Linked DNA regions of Mytilus edulis. The protein of the gene in region 1 binds, or shares a complex with, the protein of each later gene. Links are inferred from orthologs where the notes say so. Each region holds a gene or a part of one and is shown on either strand. Other genes may lie near its edges.

Evidence for each region.
Region 2: the proteins of translation initiation factor eIF2B subunit epsilon-like (region 1) and translation initiation factor eIF2B subunit delta-like are in contact, whole or in part, in a cryo-EM structure (PDB 7D46), measured with the Homo sapiens proteins. The link is inferred for Mytilus edulis from reciprocal best matches to the Homo sapiens genes EIF2B5 and EIF2B4. Residues at the interface, in NP_003898.2 of Homo sapiens: Arg163, Lys294, Arg339, His340, Glu357; in NP_001029288.1 of Homo sapiens: Arg357, Tyr393, Pro396, Glu397, Lys466, Arg467, Glu469.

Annotation. Positions count from the first base shown.
Region 1 is NC_092351.1:90,196,728-90,204,559, reverse strand, and holds the start of translation initiation factor eIF2B subunit epsilon-like, read left to right. Parts: upstream 1-4,681; 5' UTR 4,682-4,696; coding exon 4,697-4,816; intron 4,817-7,277; coding exon 7,278-7,402; intron 7,403-7,832. UniProt on the Homo sapiens protein: Acts as a component of the translation initiation factor 2B (eIF2B) complex, which catalyzes the exchange of GDP for GTP on eukaryotic initiation factor 2 (eIF2) gamma subunit.
Region 2 is NC_092355.1:77,291,626-77,299,743, reverse strand, and holds the start of translation initiation factor eIF2B subunit delta-like, read right to left. Parts: upstream 3,248-8,118; 5' UTR 3,144-3,247; exon of another isoform or gene 3,113-3,143; intron 1-3,112. UniProt on the Homo sapiens protein: Acts as a component of the translation initiation factor 2B (eIF2B) complex, which catalyzes the exchange of GDP for GTP on eukaryotic initiation factor 2 (eIF2) gamma subunit.

The DNA.
Region 1 (7,832 bases):
GCATATCAAAGAACCCCAATTATTCAATTTTGATGAAATCAAACAAAGTTTAATTTTGGACCCTTTGGGCCCCTTATTCTGTTGGGACCAAAACTCCCAAAATCAATACCAACCTTCCTTTTATGGTCATAAACCTTGTGTTTAAATTTCATAGATTTCTATTTACTTATACTAACGTTATGGTTGGTAAACCAAGAAAAATGCTTATTTGGGTCCCTTTTTGGCCCCTAATTCCTAAACTGTTGGGACCTAAACTCCCAAAATCAATACCAACCTTCCTTTTGTAGTCATTAACATTGTGTTTAAATTTCATTGATTTCTATTTACTTAAACTAAAGTTATTGTGCGAAAACCAAGAATAATGCTTATTTGGGCCCTTTTTTGGCCCCTAATTTCTAAACTGTTGAAACCTAAACTCCCAAAATCAATCCCAATCGTTCTTTTGTGGTCATAAACCTTGTGTCAAAATTTCATAGATTTCTATTAACTTAAACTAAAGTTATAGTGCGAAAACCAAGAAAATGCTTATTTGGGCCCTTTTTGGCCCCTAATTCCTAAAATGTTGGGACCAAAACTCCCAAAATCAATACCAACCTTCCTTTTGTGGTCATAAACCTTTTTTTAAAATTTCATAGATTTCCATTCACTTTTACTAAAGTTAGAGTGCGAAAACTAAAAGTATTCGGACGCCGGACAACGACGACGACGACGCCGACGCCAACGTGATAGCAATATACGACGAAAAAATTTTCAAATTTTGCGGTCGTATAAAAACTATTGTTTTTACACTCAGCCTGCCTTTGTCTAAAAATTCTTTTTTCTGAAAAAATTCTGTAGATAGACTATGGTACACAGAAGAAGATGTAGACTTTATACACTAATACTATGCATATGGTATACAGAAGAAGAAGTAGATGTTATACACTACTATACATATATGCAGCAGAAATAAGCAATACATAATACATACAACAGATATAAAGATAAGAATTGCCTAACAATTTGCTTTGACTGATTGCTATCACAATCATGACAATTGTAACAGATATTTATAATGATGTTATAGGCCGAATTTGGTTTAATATTCTTATGTTTGGTTTCATTTCATTCAGTAGTTCTCTTAAAGAAGACATTTGTATGTATTTCCTATAGGGTACCATTATCTGGCTGCCATCTTGGATAATGGATCGGGTACTATGTAACAACACTTGGTCAGCACCTCATAAGGAACATTCATGCCATGTTTGATTTCATTCCATTTAGTGCTTTTCTAAAAGAAGACATTTGTATGTATTTCCCATGGGGTAGTAGGGGTACTGTGTTTAACAGAGTCCCCCCGCTGGCGGCCATCTTTGATGATGGATCGCTTACAAAGTAATAACACTTGGTCAGCACCTCATAAGGAACATTCATGCTATGTTTGGTTTCATTCTATTCCATGGTTCTCTAAAAGAAGACATTTGTAAGTATTTCCTATAGGGTCCCATGTTAAACTAAGTCCCCCTGGTGGCCATCTTGGATGATGGATCAGCTACAAAGTAACAACACTTGGTCAGCATCTCATAAGGAGCATTCATGCTATGTTTGCTTTCAATCCATTCAGTGGTTCTCTAAAAGAAGACATTTGTATGTATTACCCATAGGGTCCCATGTTAAACTAAGTCCTCCCTGGCAACAATCTTGGATAATGGATCGGGTACAAAGTAACAACACTTGGTCAGCACTCCATAAGGAACATTCATGCCATGTTTGGTTTTGTTCCATTTAGTGGTTCTCTAGAAGAAGTTCAAAATGTTAAAACTACCACAACGGACGATGGACGCCAAGTGATGAGAAAAGCTCACTTAGCCCTTCGAGCCAAGTGAGCTAAAAATGTGTAATTGGTCTTTATAATTATCTATTATCATGATTATGATCTGCTATTCTGAATTTTAAAATCTAAACTTCACAGTCATATATGTATATTCAGAGTATCAAATAAAAGAACCCCAAGATTTAAATTTTGTAGAAATTAAACAAATTTCATTTTTATCATTTTGACCTATAAATGAGGACCAATTTAAAAATGAAGCCCAAAATCCATATTTCACATTCATTACATACATGACATACAAGGTTGGATTCAGCATATTTAAGAAATCCCAAGAATTCAAGAATACGCTATCTATTCAAACATGAAAAAAAAAAAAATGTTTTGGCTCCTTTCTCCGAAACTGACAGAGCAATAACCCCCAAAATCATTCTCAACTTTCCAGTTTTTATATAGATCCTTGTGGTTCAATTTCAAGAGAATCCACAGACTTGTGCTTATACTCAACAAGAGTGCACACGCTGAAATGTCTCTCCTTCTTTACTATTCATTGATATCATGTTGATAGTCTTTAATTGAAAGCTTTATTTATACAACATAAACTTTGCTTGTAAAATACACCTTAAAAAAATAGGAAGGGTTGTAGACATGGTAGATGTAGATGTTCCTTTTAATACATGTAAGAGGTAAATGCATGGGAATGATAACTTCCTTGGTAATATAATTTCCAGTATTATGACATTGTGACATGTAATTACAGCGTCATTATAAGTTAACAATGTTTGACTTTCTAGTACATGTATATATCATGTAAATGATGTATATATCAATTTGAGAATGGAAATTGGGAATATGTCAAAGAGTGCCTTTTCAATCAAATCAAATCAAATAATTCTATTGGTGTCAATTCCAATACAGGAATGATACCAGCAGACATTTACAAAACACAAATACAAAAAATAAACAATAAAACAAATATAAAGACACATATTTTATACAATGGGGGTGTTAATCATACTACATTACAAACTCAAGATATTACAATATAAGCTTTAAAACTACAAAAGTTCTTAACAACATTATGTTTGCTTTAAATGAATGTTTGAATCATACATATCGCTTATTCCAGCTACAGCTATACGTTGAATTGTGATGTCGAAATTTTCCAGGAATCAGATTATCTTTGCCCATGTTGCCCTCACCAGTTATTGTGGAAAAATAGCAATAAGGTTATACATGTAGTTTAAAAATGAATACATTTACCATGGGCATGATGGGTGATAAATGAACCAGGATCTGATTTGACTAGTAGTCTCCAATACACCTTATCTCTATTTGTCGACATTACTGGACATCACACGTTTCCGTAAAAATTTTGACGTCATAATAGAATCTGGGTCCATTCGCCCTAGTACCTGTTCGCCCCGATACCTGTTAGATTTTTATTTTTTTCTAATTGTTAGATACATGGTCTAGTCGCATAATTTTAAGTATTTTAACAAAATATGTTAAAGTTTGTTGAAAATTGACAGAATATTTAAATTGCTGCAATCAATGTATCATTCTCCCTTTGATTTGCAGAGTAGAATACTTGGAATACAATGTATAAATTTATCTTTATTGATATTTGTTAACAAAATAATTGTATTCAGCTGTAAATCACAAATGTATGCATTTCAACTGAGACTAGTCCCACTGAGAGTATTATAATAAATGAACTTGAAAATCTGTTTCATGATTTACAGTTCGTACACCAATGAATGTTTTTATTTATTTCAAGCTGTTTGTTTTTATCATTGACATTGTTTATTATCATGATTATTATAATCCTTCAAACGACAAGTTTCACAAAAATCAGTGATCGGAATTATTTTGTCATTGAACAATTAATGATCCTAATGATCATAAACAAGCCATAAACTGTTAAATATAAGAATATATATACCATAGAAATATCTGAATAAGTTTATTCAACTTTAATCACTGAATGCCCTGAATATTAATATTTTTAAGTAGGGCGAACGGACTCTATGGGCAAATGAACTCAGGGCGAATGGACATAAGGCAAACATGTCATTAGGGTGAACGTACACAATACCGTCATAATACAAATACATTGAAATAGGAAATTTATTTTAAGTTGGGTTATATATGAAATACTACAAATGAAAATCGGATTGTTGTATGACATCAATAGTTCAAGCGGGACAGATTCTCTGGTCAGCCGGGAATAAGCGATTAGGTGTATTTGACCAGGTGCTGAAGAAACTAGAATTTGCCCAACAAAAGGCAACATCATGAACATGATCGATCGCCCAACTGAAAAGGAATTCCTACCCTATTTATAAAAGGTAGCCCTTCAACAGACTGAGCAGTCTTCACGACGAGTGGCAGCCCAGGCTGGTAAAATTGCTCTCGGGCCTGTAAAAATCAGACCTACAGGCCAACAGAATCTAACTAAATATTTTCAAAAATTGAGCTGCAGGCCTGTAGATTTAGCAGTTCAGCGTGAAGACTGTCAGACTGAGCCAAGAAGTTTGTCATGAGCTCACCACTTATGATTAACTATCTACTATATGAACTAAGTAATCACGTAATCGAGCTGTATGATTCTTTTGTAAACAGAGCCCTATCTCATGAGATTTCGACTTCATTCGCGTCCATAGGCGTAGTGTAGTTTAGATTGCAATAGGTGCGGAGAACAGTGAGTTTGGATTACAGACGAATATAAAATGATTCTCGACAAACTTATAATGTCGTGTAATTTTTCTTACCCAAAGCGACTTCTAAGAGGGTCTAAACAGGTAGGAAAGTCGTTCGTTGTCGAGTTGGCGATTCCACAAACCGGAAGTACCGGAAGTTCAATAAAAATCAAAACATTGCAAAATGTCTGGAAAAGGCAAACAACGTGGAGCCGACATAAAACAAGAAGATATTCTACAAGCTGTTGTCATTGCAGATACTTTCAATGTTCGCTTTGCACCAATTACAGAAAAGAAACCCAGAGTAAAATTCAAATTTGTACTGCAACTGCCATTCACTTGTTCACAGCATGATGCAACTTTTTTCTTTAATTTGCTCATCATCTTTTATAGTTTTATCCTTGTATTCGTCATGTTCATAGATTGTAAAAAATTGTAAATATTAATTTGCTTCATGTAAAAAGTATACAATGTATAGTTCCCTTATTTTAAGAAATGTCCATGGAAAGATCTCTATGACTAGTTTTATGACAGCACACAGCCTAGTCCAAATAATTATGAATGTACATTGTAGGACAGAAAGTCACAGGACAAAAACTTAAAAGTCACAGGACAAAAAGTCACAATTCATTTTTTCTGATTATTTTCTTTGAATAAAAAATGCTTATTTTTACAAAAACATTTTTGTATTATTCTTGAAGTATTGTATATTAACAAACTTTGTAAGCAAAATTTATCAAAAAAAATATCAAAAATGATCAAATAATTGTTAAGAAAACAAAATGTCAAAGTAGATAAGCACTTAAATGCTTCATGGTGCCAAGAAATATATCCTTTGCATGATTAGAATTAAATAAATCTTCATTTTTCAAGTAAAATGATAAATTTCCTAAACTTTAATATGAATATATGTATAAAAAGTGAACATTTCAAGATATTCTCTTCTATATTCAAACATTTGTCAACAAATTATTTGTGACTTTTTGTCCTATCAAATTTCTGACTTTATGTCCTGTGACTTTTTGTCCTGTGACTTTCTGTCCGTTATAATTATGACGTCTGGCAAGGCTATTGTCAGATTGTAGGAAGGCGTCCCAGAAAAAAATAAAATAGCCTTGCCAGACATCATAATTATTTAGACTACTCACAGCCATGGCATAATCATGATAATATGTCAATTTGATATCGTCATGTGTCATGTTTTCATATCAGGGTAACATGAATGACAGAATGACTCTGTTATTATCGGAATAACACTTGTAATGACTGAATAACACTTGAAATTGTAATATCAGTTCATATTGGTGACTTTAAACATTGATCATGTTGATTGTTTCATAATAGTATATTATCGATGTAACTTACAACTTAAAAATGATTTAGATAAGCAGATATAAGTTCATAAAGATCATTTTAAATTGAATGTGTACATCGAACATGACAGCCATTGTGATTTCCGTGGTCCCGTATTGGATGTACACACTAAATTTAAAAAGTTTTTAATGAACGTTAATCTACTTTCTGTAATTAAATCATTCATAAGTCGTAGAACATGTAGTATACATGGAATACATTTGTACATCAATTATATACTATTAGTTAATAATGTTTTAAAGTCACCAATATGTGCAAATATTAAATTTTCAAGTTTTATTCGGTCATTTCAAGTGTTATTCAGATATTGACAGTGTTATTCCATCATTCGAGGTACCGTTCATATCATCCATTTTTCATCGGTGTCGATTGAACACGCTGGTAATGTGTTTTTTGGTTTCTATATTTGATACAACAACATTACAACTTCACAAATTTGATATGTATTAAAAGTCGCTTTATAAGACGTTAAAACAAATTTAAGAAAACTGACCTGTAGGATAAGCCATTTTTATTTAACCAAAAATAATGTCTTTTGTAGACACCCAGTGCCAATCTGAAAAATGAAAAAAAAATCACAATGTTACAATTTCATCATCTATATGAAACATCAACCAAAAACTTTTTTACTGGTTAGTTTAAGTACTGTAAAACTTGTATCAAATAACATGTAATTATAATTCTAGCAATTACCAGAACCACAACTATAGAAAATACTTATTTTAGGATTTAATAGTCATGTCCTGTCGGTATACCAGTATACTGATCCAGGTTTTACTTCATACAAAAACATATGACATATATATCACAAAACATATGACATATATCACAAAACATTATGACATATATCACAAAAACATCATGAACATATGACATATATCACAAAAACATATGACATATATCACAAAAAAATTAAAAACAGTAAAAAATCATAGTAAACCTTGACTAAAAAATCTAGATACCTAAACACATTTGACAGAACATGCTTTTAAAATTTGAGTGCACACGTGAATAAAAACTTAACAGTAAAATTTGTAAGCAATATTAATTGAAAATTTATTTCTAGAAACTAAGGTGGAACGTGGCATATTGTCAATGAAATTGACATGAAATTTAAAACATTGTCATAGGTAAAATAACGATAAATAGATTATCATTGGTCATGTTGGTCATCTGAACTGGATTGCTTTTTGGCATAGTAGCCCACATCTCAAATTGTGTACCCAAAATATATAGTTCTATACAAGAAAAGCAAACATTATAGTAGCCCACACCAAATTTTAGGGGCCATTGCCGAGTGGGCCCCTGCTAATTTCAAATCCATGTTAGACATTTAGAAGATCAACAATAATCTTTAAGGAATTTTATGTATTTTATTTTGATTGTTGCAGACATTACTTCCTGTGGTTAATGTCCCTATGTTGGATTATACCTTGGAATTTCTGGCAGCCGGAGGAATCCAAGAAATCTTTGTCTTCTGTTGTCATCTAGCTGATCAGATCAGAACACATATCAGGTATATTCAGTTAGAACACATATCAGGTATTTTCAGTCAGAACAGTGAGAACACATATAGCTCAACATGCAGACTTCTTGTACGTTCAGGCTTAAATTAAAATATTGTTTGTTTGCAGTTTACCAACCGACCCTTGAAAATCCTCCCGACCGTGAAAATTTTATTGCTTTAAATTTGAAGATTTTTTTTTTAATACCTCTATTGACGCGATCCGGAACTTTCGGTCCTTTCCGGAAATGATTTAAAGTCTGGGTCAATTACGCATTTCAAGTTCGGTTTTTCTTAGCTTCCCGTCAAGCGTTCATGTGACCATTTAATGATAAAGCACATGGAAATTGTTTACAGGTATTCATGAAGTCACGAAGGAGAACTTTACGCTGTCGTCTCGTATCAATTTTAAGACAAATAACAAACAAAAAAGTTTATTAGT
Region 2 (8,118 bases), on another chromosome or scaffold:
GAGGACAGCTGTTTTAGAATGTTTAGCAGCTTAATTTACACAAAAATGCAAATGTAAAGAAACATGAATGAACTGCAAACATGTGCATTTTTAAATGTAATTTTTTTTTATGTTACTTGATGTAGGATTCAGATATACAATTAAACATTCATTTTCAATTGTTTGTTTGTTCAGTTTATCCATCTAATTGTAATAATAACTATTTGTAAAACTAAAAATAAAGATTGTGATAAATTGTTTAAACATAACTCATATGATCCAATCACATGTATGGTCAGCTTGTACTGGACCATATACCAGGGGTTAAGAAATTTTGTTATAGCTTACTAGCCCAGGGCTAATTGGTTGCAAGATTTTACTAGCCATGTTGGAAGAACTACTAGCCCAACAAAACTGACCTGCTAGCCCTAGTATGCCTTACAAATTCAAAGTTTGCTGCAATAACAATGAATTCTATAAACTTAACAGTTTTTATCCATTCACAGCATTGTACAGTAGATTTTTCAAAATTGGATATTCAAAACTTATATCAGCAAAAAATATTCCATTACCATATATATACATATACTCAATCAATCGATAAATGAATATTCACTGAAAATTCTGATAAAATGAGTTGACCAAATCCGGGGATGATACAAGTCTTGACCACTGCTATACGTGGGTATGTCAAAGGATTAGAGGGGGTTTTATCAGATACAATATCATCATCACGTTTGTGTAAAAGAATTATCAGCACATGTTTCAAATTTATATCTGATAAAAGTCAGGTTTCTGCTGTCAAAAGGGATTCACATTTATATTGCAATAAATTAATCAAAAGGAGGTAAAATTAGGTTGCATAAGCAATGTACAATACCACCCCCTGTACTGACACATGGATACGGAAAGTACAAGATCCACCATGTCCACCCCGAGTTATTTGTTCTATTTTAAAACTTGTACAAAATCAGTTCAAATTCTGGGAATCCCGGATGACGTAGTTGAATCTGATTGGATAAGATAGAAAAGTGATCAGGGAATTTTCCCCTTTCAATTTTAGAAACGCCAAGAATTTTTTGTTACGAGTCCGTCTGGCATTTTGGGTTGCAAGTCTTGGTTGCCCGAGGTCTAAATGTTGTAGTCCCGGGCGTCGGGCTAGTGGATTTATTAACCCCTGTATACTCATGAATATGGACGTATGAGTAGCCTTACCGGACGCAATTACGACTGGACACAATTACGAACGATTTTTAATGTTTGCCCCCTTATATAATATTCATGCATGATAATTAATAAATGTTTCTATTAATTAAAAACCCACTACATTACTTGTGTTTTCACGAAAAAAAAGTTCATGTGCACTTTGTTAATGTTGCAGACGACGAAAAATTAAGTTTCGTAAATGTCAAAATAATGACTCCTACTCTTGGAAATTACATGAATAAAGCACACAAGCTAGGGCAGATTGCCTTCTTTTGTCATTATATAGATAGAAAAATATCTCCTGAATCTGTTCATATGCGTGATACCCTTTATCTTGGCCAAATAATCCAAAAATGAACGTTTTCTCAGACTCGGTTGACCCTGAGCATTGTCAGACTGTCAGAAGAAAAAAGTATTTTTATTGAAAAGTCCCAAGAACTCCGAAAGTAAAGGTTAAATATAAATTAAAATCATAGGTTCACTAACTAAAAAGACAATTCAGTGCTTCTGAGGTGAAAGAACTTGCATAAAAACAAAAAATCTGAATTATTTCCTTTTCAAAGAAATTTTTTTGTCACTAATTTCGTCTTCAACTACTGCTGAAGAATTTGAAGTAAAATACCATATTACACTTCTTATTTTCTTAGGAAATGTGTTTAAGATAAGATTAATGTATGTTTCATAAATTTAGATTGTTGTCATTGATTTGTTCTGCCAGATATATAAATATAGTGCCGTTTGTAATTGCGTCCATATTGGGCTTGCTTGACCCATAAAACCAGGTCATGAAAATCTTACCAAAGTATCCAAACGTAAATAGAAAATTATGTGTGTTATGATTCAAAATGAAAAGCATTCATACATCTTTAATTCTATGGTACAAACAATTCAAGAAAAGTATTCTACAAAGAAAAAAAATAATTAAAGTTCAAAAATCGTTCGTAATTGTGTCCAGTGAGGCTATAGGTATACGGTCAAGAACGTAAGCGTAGTCCAAATACTCATATGGTCTGGAACATATACATGTATATATAAATCTACTGTTAATGAAATATCTGAAGTATTCTAAAAGTGTACAGTCTTCATTCATATGGGGACGAAGTCCCCAATTACAGTAGAAAATTCAATAAAAAAAAAAAATTCGGGAAAATTTCCCGAATTTTCCATTGTACTAATGAACTCAAAATCGTTCAATTTTTTTTATGTCATGTTTTGAAATCCCGGACCTGCGCAGAAATGTACAATATACTTCCTTTTTCCGGTCTCGTTTGTATGAAACTTTGAGTAAAATATATATTTATCAGTCTAGTAAAAATAGGAAGAAACGCGCAATACCAATTTCATTTTTAATAATTCCTTGATATGAAAAAACGTTACCTAATGATAGCGTTTCTTTGTTTACATTGCATATGACGTCATAATTTAAATAACGTCACAACTAAAATCCCTAACAACAGAACCAAAATCGGAAACGTTACGGTATTTCCATTTCTTTTTTTTTTGACAAATAATTAAGTTACAAAAAAATAATTCATACAGACTTCGTCCCCATTTACAGGTAATGCCTGCCTCATATTACATGTCATATTACATCATGCAACATGCATAGTCATAGATCTTTTGATTTTGAATAAGCCAAATGAATTGATTTGATTTATCACTTTTTTTATTTGATTTGTCCAACAACCGCTTCACTGAAATCTATGGGCTTCCGCGCTTCATACAAAATGTACTTCAGTCAACGCTTTAACACCCCAATAAAGTTACAAAAAGAAGCATTCAATTCTTAAATACAGAACTGGTAAAATTTTTGCTGTAATTTGCAATATGTCTCGTCTGACAGTTGGAATCTGTCACTCCACTCCTTCATTCTCCGTAAAATGTCGTTCTTTATATAGACCAAGAAAAAAAATAACGATTTAGTTACCTGTCTTCTATAATTTAGATTAAATATATACAAAGTCAAATTCTGCCTGATGAAATAAACGAGTAAACACTGAACAGTTTTTAAACGTTGAATACCGAAAAATAGTTAATATTCATACATGCAACGTACGTTTATAATTATAAGAAATGTAAATCAATGAACTTGTTAGATCTAAGAACTGCCGTTATGTTTTGTATAACAGGGAAGTCATAGTGGGGAATTTTATTAATCATCTTTTACAATTTACTGCTTGAGTGCTTGTATCATTCTATAAGTTATAAATATGTTATTTTATTTACTCCTCAGGCACGTTCTCGCTTGGACGTAACAAGTGAATTATTAAAACTCGCCCCAGTTGTGGATCGTCCCAAATTTCTTGTACTGCCATATCGACCCAATTCATCTCAATCTCACATGAAAAATGAAATCCAAGCAACTGCCAAATAGCCCACTAGTTAAATTAGGGAATTTTAATTAAGGATATGAAACGCCGCACGATACTATTATATGTCTCTGGTCTAATCCTTTATATAGCATATACACAAAATTTTGATCATCCCAACACCAAAATGTAGATTATATCATCCTTCGTTCAGAGTTTGGTGGTCAAACCACGTTGCCGGAAAGTCGGACATTCATATTGTTAATTGACATTTATATTCTGTATTTTGCGCTTTTTTGTTCCGATATTTAAATTATATAATTATAGGGAAGCCCTATCATTATATTTTGTATTTAGATACTTCGTTTTGCGTTCGCCTAGAACAATACTGTTTGTGTACAAAAAAATAGGGAAGCCCTATTTTTCATTTACACCGCTTGTGCTATAGTCTATTAAATTAATATACAGTCGTAGTAACAATCATTATATATATGTCTGTGAGGAAGATAATTAAAGAGAGAAAAAAGATATACCAAAGGGTTAGGGGAGCACACCTGGGAAGAGACACTATCTTGTTCACGGACAGCAAAGGGGTGGGTCTAAAAGAATATATCCCAGAATCAATTGGGCAGAAATTTAAAGTGTTGTATAAGAGAGGAGGATCGATCGACAACAAAAAACACATTAAATCACTCATAGACACGGTGAAAGACTTGGATCATCAAATAATACTGATCTGGCTAGGTACATGTGAAATTACACAGAAGAAAAACAAAACCATCCAGTTTAGAAAATCACCGTATCAAAATATAGAAGAAACTTTAACACAATATAGGGATCTCAAACAACAAATCATAACAACAAACCATCTGCCACAGTGCTTTTTATAGAGTGTCCATACTATTCGATCACAAGGGTCAATAAACCTAAAGATTCAATTAACTTAATTGTGAATAGTAAAAAAAGACATATCCGTCACTCCTGGTAAATAAAGCCACCAAAGGTCACAGAAAAGTCCAATTGGCAACAAACATAGACAAAGAACTAAGTGAACAGATTGACTACTTTAACGATCACCTAAAATTGATCAACCGCCTTTATTCTACACCAAGAATTTCTCAGGATTTTATCCTTTCAAACAAGACAAAAAGAGACACGAAAGTTAAATATAGAAAGAATTTCAACCTAACATCGGACGGAGTACATCCCATAAGAGCTGTAAATAAATTGTGGATGCTGAAATTCATAGATTTAGCACTTGAACTGTCAGAGCAAGGATGTTAAATAAATAGCCAGCAAAATAGACAATAAAAACAAAAAAAATAGTTAAATAAGGAAGCCTTGTTTAACATACTAGATCCGAAATAATTAATCTGCGAAATATAATTAAGGAAGCCTTAATTATAAAGAAAAGAGGAAAATCAACAACATCACTCAACCAATAAAAAGAATAGGGAAGCCCTATTATATCATAGAATAAAAAGTTAATTAAAAAGTGAATAAAAATATTAGAAAAATAGGGAAGCCCTGTTTTTCTAGGAATTAACAACATAAAAGACCATACAGAGATAGCTAGCAAAACTAAGTATAGAACAAGTAAGAATAATTTACAGGGGGCCTAGAAATAGATGGAGAAGCTCTATCTAGCATTAACATACTTCATACTTATTTAGTTCGAATAGGGAAGCCCTATTCGTCCTGATAAATAGAAAGGAGATTACAACTTAACGATCAATTCTATTAGGGAAGCCCTAATATTGGACATAGGAAAGAGCGGAATAAAGGGACAACAAGCTTAGAAAAAAAATTATAGAGAGAGAAGCTCTATCTAATATCAGGAAAATAAATAATATTATCTAGAGAAATTTTATTTAAGGGAAGCCCTAAATTTTAAAATACTAGATAAAAATATTAATAACTCATTTCTTACTTTAACAATAGAGAAGCTCTATTATATGAAATAAAAAAAAAAAAATAATTTATTTTCATTTAGGGAAGCCCTATATAAAAATAAATAAATTAACTATAGTAGTAGATATGGCAACAAGAAGGAATAAATCTACTTCAAATGTAACAAGCGATCAAAAAAAGGAAGACCCATGGGAATGCAAAATATGCCAAAAGATATATAAAAATGAAGACGCTAAACTCCTTGAATGTCAAAGATGTAAAGAGCATTTTTGCATAAAATGCTTAAATAAATCAAAAACTGAATAGGAAATATTAAGCAACTCAGACACAATGTGGTTCTGCGCCCCATTTAGACAAGTAGTTGAAGAACACATAGTTACTGATCTGAAAATCGAAGAGAGATGCCGAGAGATCATGGACAACTATGAGCAAAGAATAAATGATATAGAAATCACAATAGAAAAGAAATGTGATAAAGAAGAAGTAAGAGATATAGTTAGCCAGGAGATTATAAAACACAAATGTGACGAGGAAAGAATAAGAGAAATAGCTAAAGAAGAAGCATTAAATGGAGGGGCAGTAGCTAATGTTGTATCCGAGGATATTGAAGGTGGAGTGCTACCAAATCAAGGAACAGTAACCACAGTACTAGAGGAAATAAATGAGAGAAAAACAAGGGAAAATAATCTGATCATATTTGGGATAACAGAAAATGAGTCGGAAAATAAACAAGAGAGAATAGAACATGATGTAGAGAATATAGTCCAACTCTTTAAAGATGCCAAGATAACATTGGATATTGAAAACATCAGAAAAACACAAAGACTAGGGAAATATGATAAAGAAAAAACAAATAGACCTCTATTAGTCCATTTGAAGAGCATAGACTCAAAACTAACCCTATTTAGAAACATGCATTATATTAGATCATATCCCAAATACCAAAAAGTAAATGTAAGCAATGACCTAACTAAAAGTGAGAGAGAAGAAGAAAAGAGACTGTGGGCTGAGGCAAAAAAACTTCAAGAAAACAACTCGGGGGACTTCCTGTTCAAAGTGCGGGGACCGCCATGGGCGAGGAAAGTAGTAAAAATAAAAAGGTGAAAAGAGAGACAAAAAATGTAAATATAAATGTACAAAAGAAGGGAAAGGTTTTTAACGGCAATGTAAATAACTTTACAGTTCTACCAAAATTGAACTGTTTTTATACTAATGCGGATCAGCTATTCAACAAAATGTCAGAATTGATCGTTCGTACAAGAGACAACAAACCAAATATCATTGGTATAACAGAAGTAAAACCGAAAGCTAATAGATATAAACCATCAACAGCGGAATATTCAATACCAGAGGTAGGAAATTACAAAATGTTTGAGAAAAACATAAAGTCAGATGAAGGAAGAGGCCTTTTAATGTATGTAGACTAATGTCAGAGGCAACAGATATGGGGTACTCACACATACTCATTATGGGAGATTTTAATTATCCTGAAATAAACTGGGAAACATGGAACACAAAGGGGGATAGACCAAACAGCACTGAAAATAATTTTCTGGAAGCACTACAAGATAATTTTCTGTACCAACATACAACAAAACCAACACGATGGAGAGGAGCTGACACACCCCATACACTTGATTTACTAATCACAAATGAAGAAGAGATGATTTCAAACCTAGAATATATGAGCCCGCTTGGAAAAAGTGACCACTGCGTCCTATCCTTTGATTTTAACTGTTATGTAAATATAAAAAGAGCACCGAAAATAGCTAATCTGTACAATCATGGAAATTACAAAGAATTTATTCAAGAGCTGAATAAAATAGATTGGCAAAATAAGCTAAATGCGGAAAATTCCATTGATAAAAATAGGAATTATTTTTTAACCATTTTAAAAGAATTAGAGAGCAGATTTGTACCAACAAAAACTATGACACAAATAGGAAAAAAGAGAAATGTATTCCCAATAGATAAAAAGACGAGAGAGTTAATTAGAAGGAAAAATATTCTATCCAAAAAAATTATAACTAAACAAGATCCAGATACAATAAAGTCAGAAACCAGGCCAAAACATCAGTCAATAAACAAAAGAAATTATTCGATAAAGGATTATCTGAAAATGCCAAAAGAAACCCAAAGGCTATATGGAGCTATATAAAATCCAAATCAAAGACCAGGGAAGGTATAGGGGACCTACATGTAGATACAGAAGATGTAAAATCCGAAAAAACAGATGACAATAAACAAAAGGCTGAGATACTATCAGAATATTTTACAAGCGTATTCAAAAATGAACCACAAGGCAATATTCCAGAGCCTAAGCATATTCCATTAGATAAAAAAAATAGAGGAACTAAATATTGACACTGATTTGGTTTTGAAACACCTACAGAAAATAAAAACGGATAAATCACCCGGCCCTGATAATTTACACCCAAGACTGCTGTTTGAAGTCAAAGAAGGTATAGCTGAACCACTTGGCATCATTTTTAGCCAATCTTTAACACAAAAAGTAGTTCCAAAGGATTGGAAAAGCGCCCTAGTGAGTGCAATATTCAAAAAAGGGAATAAATCACAAGCTAAAAATTATAGACCAGTAAGTCTCACATCAGTCGTCTGTAAAATAATGGAGAAAATAATAAGAGAACATATAATTAATTACATGAAAGAAAATAAACTATTTTCAAACAAACAATACGGATTTATCTCTGGG